Notamacropus eugenii: one gene and its partner. Each later gene encodes a partner of the first gene's protein in a complex. Links are inferred from orthologs where the notes say so. Each region holds a gene or a part of one and is shown in the gene's direction. Other genes may lie near its edges.

Region 1 (7,433 bases):
AAAGACACCAAGGTCATTCACTGTATCCTGGGCCATCGCCAATTATCTTGACTTCTGTTTTGCCTTTGGACTTCAATGACTCAGGAAGGAGAACAAAGCTGATGACTTAGCATAACTCTGCCTCACTTAAATCCAATTCATGAGTAAGTCTACAACTGATGAGTTTATAATATAATGACATCATAAGATCATGACTTTAGAGCTGGAATGAATCTTCAAGGTCATCAAATTCAACTTCTTTGTTTTAACAAAAAAAAAAAAGGAAATTGAAGCAAATAGAAATTAAGTGACTTATGGTCACAACTAATAGATGTCTGAAGTAGGATTCACACTCAGGTCTTCTGACCCTTATTTTTACACTCTATCCACTATACCTCCTAGTTTGCTCAAGCAAGTTGTCCATATCCTTTGAATCAGAGACTCTATTGTCCCAAGAAAGCCTCCAATAAGAAGAAAGTCCTATATACTCCAAAATATTTATAGCAGTATTTTTTGTGACAGTTAAGAACTGAAAATATAAACGAACTGAAAATATAAAATATAAAAGAAATAAATAAGATAAAATAAGAAAGAAAAAAGAAAGAAAAAAATAAAATATAAAAGAAAAAATAAAAGAACTGAAAATATAAAATATAAATGAAAAATAAATAGCAGTACTTTCTATGATAGTTAAGAAATGGAATCAAAGGAGATGTCCACCAATTTTGAGAATGGCTAAACAAATACTGGTATATGAATGTAATATAATATTCCTGTGCGACCTTGCACAGCCCTCACTCACTCAAAACAAAGTCAAATGCAAGTCATGTCACCATTTCTCTGATGGGATGGTCTTCTTTGGCAATGAAGGACTAACACAACAACAACAACAACAAGAAACTATGTATGTAATGAATATAGAAAATCACGAAAAGATCTCCATGAACTGATACACAGTGAAGTAAGCAGAGGAAAGAAAACATTAAACACAGTGATGACAAGGATATAAATGGAAAGAACTACATACAAAAAAATCAAAAATCAATGTTGCAAAATTAAAAAGAGCACTCATGGCTCAAAAACAGAGAAGTCACCATCTCACCCTTTTGCAAAGGTGTTTGTTGTACAGTTGTTTCAGTTGTGGCCAACTCTTCATGGCCCCATTGAGGGTTTTCTGGGCAAAGATATTGGAATGGTTTGCCATTTCCTTCTCCAGTTCATTATACAAAGGTGAAAGGTGCACATATGTTACACATTTTTAGAGTGTTGTTCAATATCCAATCAGTTATGTTGGTTTTTCTACTTTTTAAAGTGCAATTTGTTGTATGGGGTGACTAGAAAGAGGAGGAAGAGAGGTACAGGGGGGAGATTATGGTAAAATAAAAAATGCATTAATAAAAACTTATTTTAAAAAAGTCAGATGAGCCCATGAAAGTGACTAAAGCATTATCATCTCTAAACCACAAAATCTTCACAAGGAAGAGTCAAAGTTTCCAGACCTTCCCTGTTCACACTGGAACCTTTGAGATCCAACTAGGTTAAAAATGCAAACATCAGCTAACTAAGTAATAGCTATAATCAAAGCCATAAAACAAAAAGGGTCTTTTATAACTGAGATTCTATAGGAAAAGACCTATATTCACGTGCCTCTAAATGAGTCTACACCCATTCTCCACCCCTTCAGCAGAGGATATGTTTATCCAAAAGAGTCAATTAGATAGCTATCTAATGTTCCTTGTCCTTCTCTACACTAGTTATGGAGTACAGAGAACTCATTAAAATGTTTTATTTCCGAACAATAATTACCAGTCATCAAAATGGTCAAAGTGCTTGAGGGTAGGCAAAAGTCTGGAGGGGGGATAGTAGCAAAAGAAAAGAGAGAGAGGAGAAATGCAATAAGGGACCTTCCACCTTTCATCTATTCATCTATTCAGTAACACAACTAGTATTTAGTATCCATTTATTTTGTGTAAAACTCTATAATTGGCACAGGAAATATAAAGACAACCCCCCCAAAAAAACTCAGTCCTTCCCCTTAAGAAACTTACCTTTGATTGAGAGAAAACAACATATACCAAAAAGAAAAAAAAAAAAAGAAAATTTGGGGGGAGAGTGGGAGGCATTAGCTACTGTGAGGATCAGGAAGGGCTTCAGGTAGAAGTTCCTGACACATAGTAGGTACTTAATACATGTTTATTGATTGATTGATGTAAATGGTGGCACTTGAGCTGATTCCTGAAGGAAACATGATTCAAGGGGTTGAGGTGGAAGGGGAGGGGCTGCATTCTAGATATGGGGGCTAGCCAGCACAAAGTCATTGCAACTGAGTCTTATGAGTGAGAAGCACCAGGAAGGCAGCATGATGGAGGAATAGTAGGCAGGTCAGTTTACCTGAACCATGGAGTGGCTGAAGAAGAATGATTACTACATACATACATGCACACGCATACATGTACACATGTGTATGAATAACATACAACGTACACACATAAACATACACAGATGCAAGATACAGATTCAATACAATACTTATACACATGTGCATACATGCATGTGCATATACATGCACACATATATACATATGCATATGTTCATATAATTACATAAAATATATGTTTCCATACATATGAGTAGGCTGGGTTGGGGTTCTGAGAAACAGAGGAGTTTGTATTTTACCTAGAAGTGAAAGGTGGCCACTGAAATTTCCTGAGCACAGGAGTGACATGATAAGACCTTGGCTTTATCAATACCAGTCTGGTAGCTGTGTAAAGGGTGGATTGGATATAGGAGAAATTTGAAGTCAGAATAGCAGTTAGGAAGCTATTTCAATAGTTCAGGAGTAAGGTGATGAAGACCAGGACTAGGGTGGTAGTTCTGTGAGTAGAGAGAAAGGATGGACATAAGATGTTATGTTAGAATGGGTCAGATTTGGTGGCTTATTAAATACAGATTTGAAAGAGAGGTAAGAATAGACAATGTCTCTGGTATTGTAAACCCTGGTAACTGAAAAGATCTTGATACTCGAATCTGAAATAAGGAAGTTAGGAAGAAGGTGCAATATGGTATATCATGGCATATTGGAAAGGATGCTGGATATGAAGTCAGAAGACGTCGGTTTGAAATTGGTTTTGCCATTTACTACTTATGTGATTTTGGATAGGTCACTTCATTATGGCCCTGGTCTATAAAATTAGGTTGGGCTAGGTATCCTCTAAGTTCCTTTATAATTAGGTGACAGAATAGTTATCTTGGACACATCTTTGGGGGAGTGGGGAGCGTACTTAGCATGGCTTTTTTATTTAAAAAGAGCATAGTTTTTTAAAAAAAAAAAAAGCCATAAAAAAGCTTACCAGAGTATCATCAGGTATAATTCAATTTCTTCAGGGTATTTTAGCAAGTGGCTTCATTGACTGATGACTCAAAGGAATCACAAGGCAACATGCTGGAGAAGAGACTTGATTAGTATGCCCCTAGTCCTGAATGTCCAGAGTGGGAAAGGGAGCTCGGTGACAAGGCAGAGACCCAGGGAGCTGCTTTGAGTGAGCTGCTCCTAGAACCCAATGGTCCTTTGCAGTTGCGATGGGGTCAATATCTTGCTGATAATTCAAGACAGTAAGACTGAAGTTTACTTGTGTCATTTGTTACAGCTATCTCAGATGTTGAGAGTCAGTAAAGGAGAGGGAAAGAGAATTTTACTGGGAATCCTGTACATAACAGGCATATTAAATAAACCTTCAAAAAAATAAGGCAGAGGTTTGTGTCACAGACCCTTTTGGTCAGGAGTGGGGAACCTGAAGTCTTGAGGCCACACAGAGAAGACCTAAAGTTTAGATTCAAAGGGCCACATATGTCCTGGAGGCTGCAGGTTCCCTATGCCTGGCACCTTAACAATCTGGTGAAGCCCACAGATCACTTGTCAGAAAAACGTTTTTTTTTAAATGTGGTAACTAAAATATGTAGGATTAAAAAAGAAAACAATTGTGCCAAAACATAGTTAACAAAATGTTAAAAACAAACAAACAAGTTCATCAACTTCAGGTAAAGAACACCTAATCTAAGGATAAAAAGTGTACAACATAAGTAAAGATTCCCCTTTTCCATATCACCTGACTTTGTATCCCCAAAATATGCCTCTCCTGAGGGAAAAGCCCACTGGGAATTCTAGTGCTCAGTTTTTGTAGAAAACAGAGTGACTGCTGTGCCACTAACTTTCTCATTCTTTAGCTTTTTGGATGAAAAGTAAATTCCATCCCAGGTTCCCCACTGAACAAAGACTATTTAAAGACTTAGTAATGAACTAATTTAGTTAGTCTAACATATTTTTGAAAAATTCCTACAGTAGGTATGGAGAGGAGGGTCAAAGTTCAGAAACAGATAGCCAGGGTAAAGGTCAGGAGACATTTATTACAAGGCACTCCCAGGAAAATTGTTTCACTTGCCGCAATGCTTTCCACCAGGGCCACCTGGAGCCTAACCTTCACCTTGCTGTTTGCCTTTGCTGCTTCCCTATCGGTGAGTGGCTTTCCATTCTCCTCTGCTGTTGAGAACCATTTCTTCCTTTGTGCATATTATCCATTATATGTGTATTTCTTTGCAGATCAAACCCTTCTCCCAAGAAAATGGTAAGTTTTTTCTTAATGTTCAGATAATGCTTCTTTGCTGTCTCTTTTCATTGACAATAGTAATAATGTCTTCTTTCCCCCTGGATGCAGATGCCAGTGAGCAAAGGAAAGATATTTTAGAAATCAACCAAGGTAAGTGGTATTTCTGACTCTTCATTGCTTTAAAAAAAGCTTTATCTTTATAAAACAAGAGCAATAATGACAACTCATATTTATACAGCACCTACTATGTGTAAGTATTATACTAAGTGCTTCACAAATATTATGTCATTGATCCTCACAGCAACTCTGGGAGATAGGGGCTATTATTGTACTAATTTTATAGATGGGGAAACTAGGCAGTATAAGTGACTTGCTGAGGGTCACATAGTTAGTAAGTATCTAATGGCAGACTTGAACTCAGGTCTTCCAGCCTCCAGGTCCTATACTCTATCCACTGTGACAACAAACTACCCATACTTTTATTACATTAATTTGAGTATATATTCTCCTTCCCCAATTAACTCATTCCTTATAACAAAAAAAAATCAATATTGGGACTTTTTGACAATGCATGAGCATTCTATCTCTGCAGTTTCCTGACTTTCAGGTCAGAGGAGTCAAGGAGGTCCCATTCCTTGGGATCATCATTATTTTCGTTTTAGTGGTCTTTTCGATCATGTAGTTTTTCAATCATACTAGAATGTAGGTAGACACTTATTTCACTCTGAATCAGCACATAAGAGTCTTTCCATACTTCTCTGAAATCTTCATATGAAAAACCATTTGTACAAGTGAGATGTTTGAATATGTCACTTTTTATTCAATTAATATATGCTAAATGCTTATTATACAATAGGTATACAACACAATTACTATATTATACAAACATAATAATGTATCATATTATTATATAATACAATGTCATATAATATAGCTACTGTATAGTTCGATTTATATATCAGTTTTTTAAGTCACTTTCTAATAAACGGGCACCCATTTAAGATTAGATTTGGGGGTGAGTATAAATCATCTGTTCATACAAATAAAAAAAGCTTATTGTAATTTCTCAGTCGTGATTTTTTTTTTTATTGGAAAACTTTATCAAAGCTTCATTAAGCTTTCTCTGTTTAACCCAGGGGAATCCAACATAAACTAAATCTCTTTTATTACGATTTAAGAAAGGCTAGAAGAAGTTGTTTTCATGAAGATGGTATTTAAGATTGAGAAGGATGATATTATGAGCTCCAAAGGATTAAGAATCTCTACACCATCCCCCGCTCCTGGAATGATGAGGACAAAATGACATCGTTTTCTAGTGGGGAGAAAAAGAGGTTTTCTTATAAGAAAAAGGTTTTCCTACAAGAGTTTTCAGTATTATAACACAAACTGTGATAGAAAGGGATGTAACTCAATATGCTTCCAGCATAGTTCAATTTTTTAAAAATATGCTTACCAATGTAATCTCTAGGTAGTCAGGGGTGGAGATTGTCGGTTTGTAGAAAAAGTATGTCACTTTAGCTCATAAAAGGAGATAAAGGAGTTGTATGCATTGCCACTCCCCCACCTTTGTTATGTTATTCTCAGAGACACAGTGAAATTCATGACTCAGTTGGGTTTTTAAACATAGAATTAGCATTAGAATTGGTGTTAACCTGCAACTACACACCCCTGGTTATTTATTGTCAGCCAGCGGATCTATTATATTAAACATTACTATGTAATATAAATATTATGTATATATTATATATTTATATAATAGTATAAATATATTATATATTTTAGTGTATTTTATTGTTATATATTATAAAGTTATTTTATATAATTTACAATTATATATTATATATCCTATCTATATATTATGTTGATATGTTATATTAAATATATGATACTAATATTAAATGTATAATATTAAAACATAATCATTATGAATATAATTCTAAATTTTGGTCCTCCAAATATATTTAAATTTTTTTCACAAATTCTCTCATTTATAGCTCAACAATATCTTTACTATGAAGCCTATAAGGTCAACATAATGGGTAGGGCTCCTCCAAATATTCCAAGGTCAGCCTAATGGGTAGGGCTCCCCCCAAAATGTCCAGGGTCAACCTAAAGAGCAAGGCTACCCACATGTACCTAAACTTGCTTTAGCGCTAGCTAAGTCCAAGTTGATTCTGTCTGTAATGAACAAAATAACAATAGCAGACATCTGTACAATGCTTTATGATAGACAAAGTACTTTCCATATGTTCTCATTTGAGTCTTACAACCCTGTGAAATCTGTGGTGTGGATACTTATCTACATTTTAATGATGAAGAAACTAAGGTTGAGAGAGGTTGCACGATTGGCTCAAAGTCATAGAAGATTAGTCTGAGAGTTTATATGTCAGAGTGATATGACATAACATAGAGTGCTGAACATGGAATCACAGGACCTAGGTCCAAATCTTGACTCTGCCACTGATAATTTGTGTAACTTTAATTAAGTCCTTTATCTTCACTGGTCCTCAGTTTCCTCCTCCTTAAAATAAAAGGATTGCTTTTTGATGATTTTTCCAAACTCTAAACCTCTAATGCTATGGTCCTATGATTAAAATAAGGTCTCTCAAATCCAAGTCCAGAACTCTTTCTACTATGCCACATTGACTGAAGAAAAAATCAGTGACTTGAAATTGAGAGTTTGTTCATTTACACAGCAGATATTTATTGAGGGTTTTCTATGTGCAGAAGACTAAGCTGGGCAGCAAGCGTCATAAAAAGATGAGATTCTTCCAAATATAATCCTGGTTGCCTCAGTGGTAACTAATGAAATAGGAAAGTATGATACATACAAAGTATAGAACAGAGTAG
Region 2 (7,621 bases), on another chromosome or scaffold:
GGGAACAAGGAAAAGCCTCTGTAGGGGTGACACAAGTCATTTTTGGAGGGAGCTATTCTAAAAGGGAAGGGGGTAGGAGGGAGATTTTAGGCACATAAAGTACCCACATATGAGTTTAGGGTCAGAGTCAGAAGGAGAGTCAGAGATGGAATTGGAGTCAAAATTAGGGTTAGGTTTAGAGAAAGATGGAATATTATGGGGGAGATGTTTCCAGAAGACCTGGCTGGTTGGAAGAGTCCATGAAGGGGACTAAGGTGTATAAGGTATGGCAAGGTAGACTAGATTCAGTCTGTGAAGAGATTTAGTATTTGCATTTGATCCAAGAAACAACATGGAGCCACCACAGCTTCTTGAGTGAGGAAGTGCTTTAGTCTGATTTGGGCTTTAAGAATATCGCTTTATCAGCTGGTCAGGTAGGTGGAAGGTGGGATTGAGACGAGACTGGAGGACAAGGGTGAAGTGAGAGCCCACAAGGGATTGAACTTTAGCGAGCTGTCTGTGAATAGGGATAGAGTACAAGACCCTAGAATCAGAGGAGGAAAGCTGCTCACAGGTTACCTAGCTCCCCTCTCCATTTTGGAGGAGGATGCTGAGGCTTAGAAGTGAAGTGACTTGCTCAATATCACCCAAATGATCTTGGCAGAACTAAGATTTTTATAAGACTTGGGGACTGATAGTAGAGGAAAGGGGGGAGTTGGAGAGGAAGAAGGAAGAGTTGAGGATGTCCCCAAGGGACCTAGACCTCACTGGAAAGTCCCAACCTACTTAAGTGTTGAAAGTCCAGGCCATGCTTGGGTGTCCAGGACCTTTCAGCATTCATGGTGTGGACATGCCAAATCAATCAAGTTCTCTAGAAGCACATGACTGCTCTACAACCTGGCCATGCTCTTGGTCCAATTCGACTTTGGGGGCATATGTGGTCACCAATAGGGAATGGAACAACCTCCACGAATGGACCATGGACTTGCTAAATTATGCTGGAGACCCAGAGAAGCCTTCATGTTCACTAGCCTTTGGCTGTCTGAGTCCAGAAAGTCTTGCCTGGGCAGGATCAAAGCTGAGTGGGTGTCTATTGGTTTTTCTCAGAGAGTTAGTGAATAACAACTCATTTGCGTGATAACTTAGCTTGAGAACATCAAACATGCCAAATGGACTAACCAGAATCAGTGTATGGAGGAGAGTTGCCTCTGGACTGGGTGTCAGGTGGCTTGCCCATCATGACCTGTGTGACCCTGGGCAAGTCACTGCCCTTTCTGGGCTTCCTCTAAGATCCCTTCTAGAGGGTAGGTGAGGTAGGGGAGGAGGAAGGGGAGAAAAAGAACAAAGTAAAAAGCACACAGCAGAGAACAAAAGCAAACTTACAGGGAAGCAAAGATGGAAAGTGCTGAGCACAATGTGTAGTATTCATTGTATAGGCTTTCTTGAAGTGAAAATTTATTGCTGTATATTTTGAATACTCTCATGTCCTGCTGTGCACGTGGCATGATTTTTCCTTTTTCTTATTTTGTATTTAATTAAATATTTAAGTTTATAACCTGTTCCTTTTTTCTTTCTCCTTGTGTATTTGAGCTTTTGTATTTATGTTTAATGATTGAAAAAAAAGATCCCCTTCTAGGGCTATGGCTGGGTTCTGGTAACAGGGAATGTTCTGGGGCTATGGCTGGGTTCTGGTAACAGGGAATGTTCTGGGGCTATGGCTGCACCACAGTTTGATCTGATCGCTTGCTCCCATAGCAGAAACTGGCCCTCCCAATCACAACCAATGGTTTTCCCTTAAATCAGTCATGACCTCTCCCCTTGGCTACTGCATTAGCCTCCTCACTGACCTCCCTGCCTCCAGTCTCACCCTTTTCCAATCCCTCTTCCATGTGGCTGCCAAATTAATAACTAATTTCCTAAAATAAAGTTCCATCCTGTCACATTTCTGCTCAAAAAGGTCTAGGTTAAAGCAACAAGGAGTTCCCTAGCTTCCAGCCCTTTCTCGCTGGCTTTCTCTCTCCAACTCCAACACCTTCTGCCTCTGTTACCATGACAGAACAGGCCATCTCCTTCTCCAAAGACTTCCTGGCTGGTGGTATCACTGCTCTCTCCAAGATTGCAGTGGCCCCCACTGAGAGAGTTAGGCTAGTATAGCACGTGCAGCATGTAAGTAAAAAAATTGCTGCTGATTAGCAGTACAAAGGCAGCCTGAATTCCAAATGAACAAGAAGTGCTTTCCTTCTGGCAGGGTAACAGCAAATGTCATCAGACATTTCCCCACCCAAGCACTTAACTTCGCCTTTAAAGCTAAAGTAAGTATTTGGGGGAGAAGTGGACAAGCACACACAATTCAGGAGGTATTTTGCTGGCAATCTTGCCTCTGGTGGTGTGGCTGGAGCCACTTCTCTCTGAGTTGTCTACCCCTTGGATTTTTCAAGAATGTGTTTGGCCGCTGATGTTGGGAAATCTGGCACTGACAGAGAATTCAAGGCCTGGGAGATTGCCTTGTGAAAATCACCAAGTCTGATGGAATTCATGACTTGTCTCAAGGTTTCAATGTCTCATGCAGTGTATCGTTATCCATAGAGAAGCTTATTTTGGAATTTACGATACATCGAAAGGTATGCTCCCAGATCAGAAGAGCAGTCATTGTGGTAAGCCGGATGATTGTGCAAGCAGTGATCACTGAAGCAGGTGTGGTCTCCTATCCCTTTGATACAGTAAGACTTTGAATGACTGTGCAGTCTGGGCACAAAGGAGATGATATTTACACTGGGACAATTGACTGCTGGAAGAAGATTGCTAAAGATGAAGGTGGCAAAACTTTCTTCAAGGGTGCCTGGTCCAATGTTCTTAGAGGCATGGGTAGAGCTTTTGTGCTTGTCCTGTATGATGAATTAAAGAAAGTCATCTAAGTACATCCTAACTAAAAAAAGGAACCAGTGAATATAGATATTGTAGACTACTTAACCATACTTAGCATTTTGGACCATTGACCTTCAAGAAATTCCTCTTGTCTTTTTCTCCAGGTGGATCATGTTTGTCAGGGAGCCAGGAAGAGCTCTTAGAAAAGGGGGCTCATTGACTGTGATCCGTCATTCACACAGTGAAATGGATGATGGTTCAGTATACTGATTCCATTGGTTTTGGGGAAAATAGCAGTTACTGTGGGCCAAGGACACAGATCAACTTAGATCATTTAGTTTAAATGCTCTTTTGATGACCATAAATTTGTGTTCAAATATTTTAAAAAATCATGACCCTCCCCCCATTTGGATTTAAGCCTTATATACATGATCTTGCCCAGATGTGGCAGTTACCTGTGACAGTCATTCTGCTGTCAAACAATAAATACACAGAAGACTAAAAAATAAAGGTCCCTATCCCCTCCAGGATAAAAGCCAGACTCTTCCTTTAGTATTTCAAGCTCTTCTATTCTGACTTCAAGCTATTTTCAGACTGAATACACATAATCCCCTACATACAAGCTGGTTTTTAGCCAAATTGGCATTTGGCTAGGCACTGAGTATACAAAACCAAAAAGATAGTCCCTCACTTAGGTCTGTACTGTCATTGGGAAGACAAAATATATAGGGGAGTGATTGCCAGGAGGATAGGAGAGTCACAGGGCAATCTATAGGCATCATATGCCCTTTGCAGGAGTAGTAGCATGGATTTGATTACCGTACCAGGAACAAGAGGTGGAAAGTGGAAGAATGCTTGTGGAGGCATGGCAGCAAGATGGCCAGAGAACATAGTGGGCTGGAGGGCCCATCAGTGTGATGGAATGTAGTGTGGTGGACTTAGTAGGGATTCTGGGACCTGAAGGACCCAGATTAAGGGCTAGAAAGCCTGCTGGTATTCACAGGAGGGTAGAGCATGGTATCATGGCAAGGACATAGCGGGAGAGGCTTAGAATAATCCTGTTGAGTGGATGAATTAAAATGATGACGATGATGGACCAGATCTATGATTGCATTGGCATAGGAAACCTCCAACCCCCAGGGAGAAAGAAAGAAGGAAATCAGTAGATTTTGGCAGTATGGGTGAGTGGGGGCCCACTTTAATTATGGCCAGAATTTCTGCTTTACAGAATGAGTTTTCCTGTGACCTTTGAACCTGGGTGCAGTCAGGACAGTGGAGGATACAGAGTAGGGTATGACCCCTTGAATTAGGGGACAAAGTTAGAATATGTCACTCTTTGATAATAAGAAACACTAATAAAACTAAGAAGACACTAGTCAGTCAGTGAATTAATATTTATTAAACACCTACTATGTGCACTAGTAAATATAATCACATCACCCTCTTATAATAAGATGCTAATAGTTATCATTACAAGAACATATCGCCCTTTGATGATAACAGGACACGCATTAAAGGATATGGGGGGTGGGGTGGGAGATAGAGGACACCATGAGAGAGCCAGACTCTCATGAGTTCATTGCCAAGAACTTGGATCAGATGGCTTGCTTTGACTTCTTGGGTAATCATTTTGGAAATGGTTGGGAAAACAAAGCTGATTAATCAGTGATCTGGATGGGAGAATGGTCAGAAATATGAGGTACAAACACTCTGCCCTCCCCCTACCTTTTTAAGGCATGTGTCATTTATTGATTCAGTTATCACCTGTAGGTTTCAGGGTGACATGATCGTGGCAGCAGCCAGTCAGTTCAGCCTGGATTCTGGGGTATAAAAGGACTTAGAGGGAAACAGCCATCTGTCTTAGCCTCCCAGTCTGGAAGAATGATCAGATTCTCTCTCCTCCTGGGCCTCTTGGCCCTGGTGCCCAGCTGCTGGAGTACTTCAATCCCTGTTCCTCCTCTCCTCTTGTCCCCCAGCTGCAATGACTCTCAAGTCCTGTCCATGGCAGACTTGGCTCTACAAGGCATCAATGAAGACCGGAAGGAAGGTTACATGTTCAGCCTCAATCGTGTGGCTGACGTCCGTGAACATCATCAGGTAAATAACACTGTTCTTTGGTGGTGGCAGTGGTGGGGACATCCTCACACATTCTGTGTTCCAGTCACACTGACTCGCCTCTCTTCTCTGAATTGGCCATGGATCTCCCACCTCTATGATTTTGCACAGGCTGCCTCACTTGCCTGCCATGAACTCCCTCCTCAGCACAGCCTCTTGAAATCCTTGGCTTTCTTCAAGGCTCAGTTCAGCTGTCGCCTTCAGTACATAGTAATCCTTTGAGGATCCCTGAACTGATTAGTCCTGCCTCCTTTTGCTGTTGTCAGTGGTCCAGGCTTGTGATTTCATTGGTGTGAGGGATTCTCTGGGTAGGAACCTCCCTTCATGCATACAGATCAGCAAATTCTAGTCTTAGGAAGTCTCCTAGAGACACTGAGACTTGAGGTGACTTGCCCAGGATAACACAGCCAAAAGATGACTCGATCCCAGGTCATCCTGGCCATTCAGGTCATTAGTTGTCACTCCCATCCCTACACCAAGCTGCTTTGGAGCTGATGCTCATTTGTCCGCTTCCATGTTGTGTCTCAAGTAGAAGGTAAGTTTCTTAAGGGCAGAGTGTGTCACTCCTGCAATGATAATTTACAGCACCTAGTTTGATATCACTCACACAGTAGGCTTTTTAACTGAATTGGTCTGTCTGGGACTCATTGCTCCCATAGGGGAAAATGAAGAGCAGTGAGCAGAAAACTTCAAGGCAGATTTCAGCTGGCTGTGATTAGTGATCCAGAGGTGGAGTGAGATCCTGAGGAGGTAGGAAGTCCCTTTTACTGGAAGGGCTCCAGAAAGGACTGAAAGAGCAATCATTGGGATGTCCCAGAGGGCATCCTTGTTCAGGTACACAATAGAGTCAATGGCAGCTCTGAAGCGTCAGATTCCTCTGGGGCAGGGTCTGGCCCTAGCTGGGTGTTTCAACATTGCAACAGACACTCTGTGAAGTGGATTCCAGTTATTGAACCCTCCTGAAGAGAGATGGGAGAAGCCTTATAAGTGAGCTCACTTAGCTATCCAATGACCAGCATCAAATTAGCTTCCAAATTTTTGTAGCCCAGTGTAAAGGGGGGGGGGGATAAGATTTGTTTTGCCCTGTAGATTCATCTGTAAGCATTCCTTAATCACTTTCAATGAGCCAGACACTGGAAATACAAAGATAAAATTGAAACAGTGCCTGTCCTTAAAGAACTTATATTCCAATGGAAGGAAACACCACATACATACAAAAAATAGAGACAGAATGACTACAAGGTAATGGGTGGGGGAGAATTAGAGACTGGTGGAAAGGGACTGCAGAAGTGGAGGGGGGAAATCAAGAAGCCTTGGTATATAAGGTGTTGCTTGAGCTGAGTTTTGAAGAAAACTAGTTAACCTAAGAGATGAATATAGAATCACCAATTATTTGATAACATACTTCCTAAGGTAAAGGGTTGACCTTTTCCCCTCTTGCCCCATTTACCCTCTCCCCTGCTTTTCTCCTCCTCCCCTGTCCTACCCAGCCAAGCCAGAAAAGTGTCAAGGACAGAGCTGGTATAGACTCTATGTCTACCTGAGAGCCAACATAAGGAATAAATGATACGAACCAACATGTATCAGGTGCATATTATGTGCCAGGCACTGTGGAGCTTATATTCTGGGAATGAATTGGGTGATGCTCCTTCCCAGCTTGGCCCCAGGTTGATGGATATTTGGTCAGATGACTACAGCTCTCAAAGATCATCTACTAAGTTATAGAGTGGTTATGAACTATGCCAGTGGAGGGGGGAATGCCTGAAGATCAAATCAGGAATGCTTGAGGGAGATGGAGAATTAATTTTGGTCCATCTGCTCCAACTTAGACCTGTCCAGGCAGCCCTTCTGCAGTGTCCCCCACAAGTGATTCTCTGCCTGAAGAATACAAAGCAGGGAGGATGGCAGCAGAGAATAGATCCAGAGAGAGGGAGAAACCAATGCCTATGAAGAAAACTCAGTCTGCTCCTGGGAAGCTCTTATCATGAAATTTTTCCTGACACAAAGTCAAATGGAATTTTCCTCAACCTGCACCCATTGCTCTCAGTTCTGCCCTCTGAGGCCAAGCAGAATAAGTCAAATCCCTTTTTATGTGACAGATCTTCAGATACTTGGAGACTCTTATCATCATCATTCTGAGTCTTTTCTTATCTAGGATAAACATCTCCAGTTCCATTACTCAGAGAATGTTGATATCTGGCCTGCATAGGTTCTGATGAAAAATTGAGACTTTATGTGACCCCCCCAGGGAGTGCATGTATCTGAATCCAGCATAAAAGAAGGGAGATCCACACTTTGGTTATGAAGTGAAAATAAATCCCCAATTCAGTGGGATTCCTTTATAATTCTGATGCTGGAGGCTAAAGCCCAGCCATGTATCATTGGGGTCTGGTAAGGACATAGAGTATCTTTCACGGTTTCTGCTTTCATGGTCTATGGGAGCTCACCACTGCAGATGGTCAGATGGTCTGCTTTTTGCAAATTCCTTACTATTCATTCAACAAACATTTATTAAGCACCAACTCTGTGCAAAGAACCACATTAGATACAGATTAGAAACAAAAAGGCACAGTCTCTGCCCTCATGGGATTTCCAATCTAAGTTGGAGGAGGAAAATTATATGTACTCAAAGAAACAGAATACAAAGCAAAGAATAATGGGA

Evidence for each region. The genes of interacting proteins can lie anywhere in the genome.
Region 2: the proteins of MEP1A (region 1) and FETUB are in contact, whole or in part, in a cryo-EM structure (PDB 7UAI), measured with the Homo sapiens proteins. The link is inferred for Notamacropus eugenii from reciprocal best matches to the Homo sapiens genes MEP1A and FETUB. Residues at the interface, in NP_005579.2 of Homo sapiens: Asp126, Gly127, Cys128, Trp129, Ser130, Glu131, Val132, Gln145, Gly146, Cys147, Tyr149, Ile152, His155, Glu156, His159, Tyr164, His165, Gln167, Ser168, Leu184, Gly186, Tyr187, His189, Asn190, Asp192, Tyr194, Tyr214, Gln215, Phe217, Ser218; in NP_001362516.1 of Homo sapiens: Phe109, Phe110, Lys144, Lys145, Tyr148, Met149, Thr150, Cys151, Pro152, Asp153, Cys154, Pro155, Ser156, Ser157, Ile158, Ser196, Ser197, Gln198, Trp199, Val200, Val201, Gly202, Tyr205, Phe206, Thr242, His245, Trp246, Phe249, Val250, Ser251.

The regions. Positions count from the first base shown.
Region 1 is NC_092873.1:111,180,683-111,188,115, forward strand, and holds the start of MEP1A (meprin A subunit alpha), read left to right. Parts: upstream 1-4,422; coding exon 4,423-4,491; intron 4,492-4,576; coding exon 4,577-4,601; intron 4,602-4,691; coding exon 4,692-4,733; intron 4,734-7,433.
Region 2 is NC_092877.1:377,028,891-377,036,511, reverse strand, and holds the start of FETUB (fetuin-B), read left to right. Parts: upstream 1-4,610; 5' UTR 4,611-4,725; coding exon 4,726-4,941; intron 4,942-7,621. UniProt on the Homo sapiens protein: Protease inhibitor required for egg fertilization.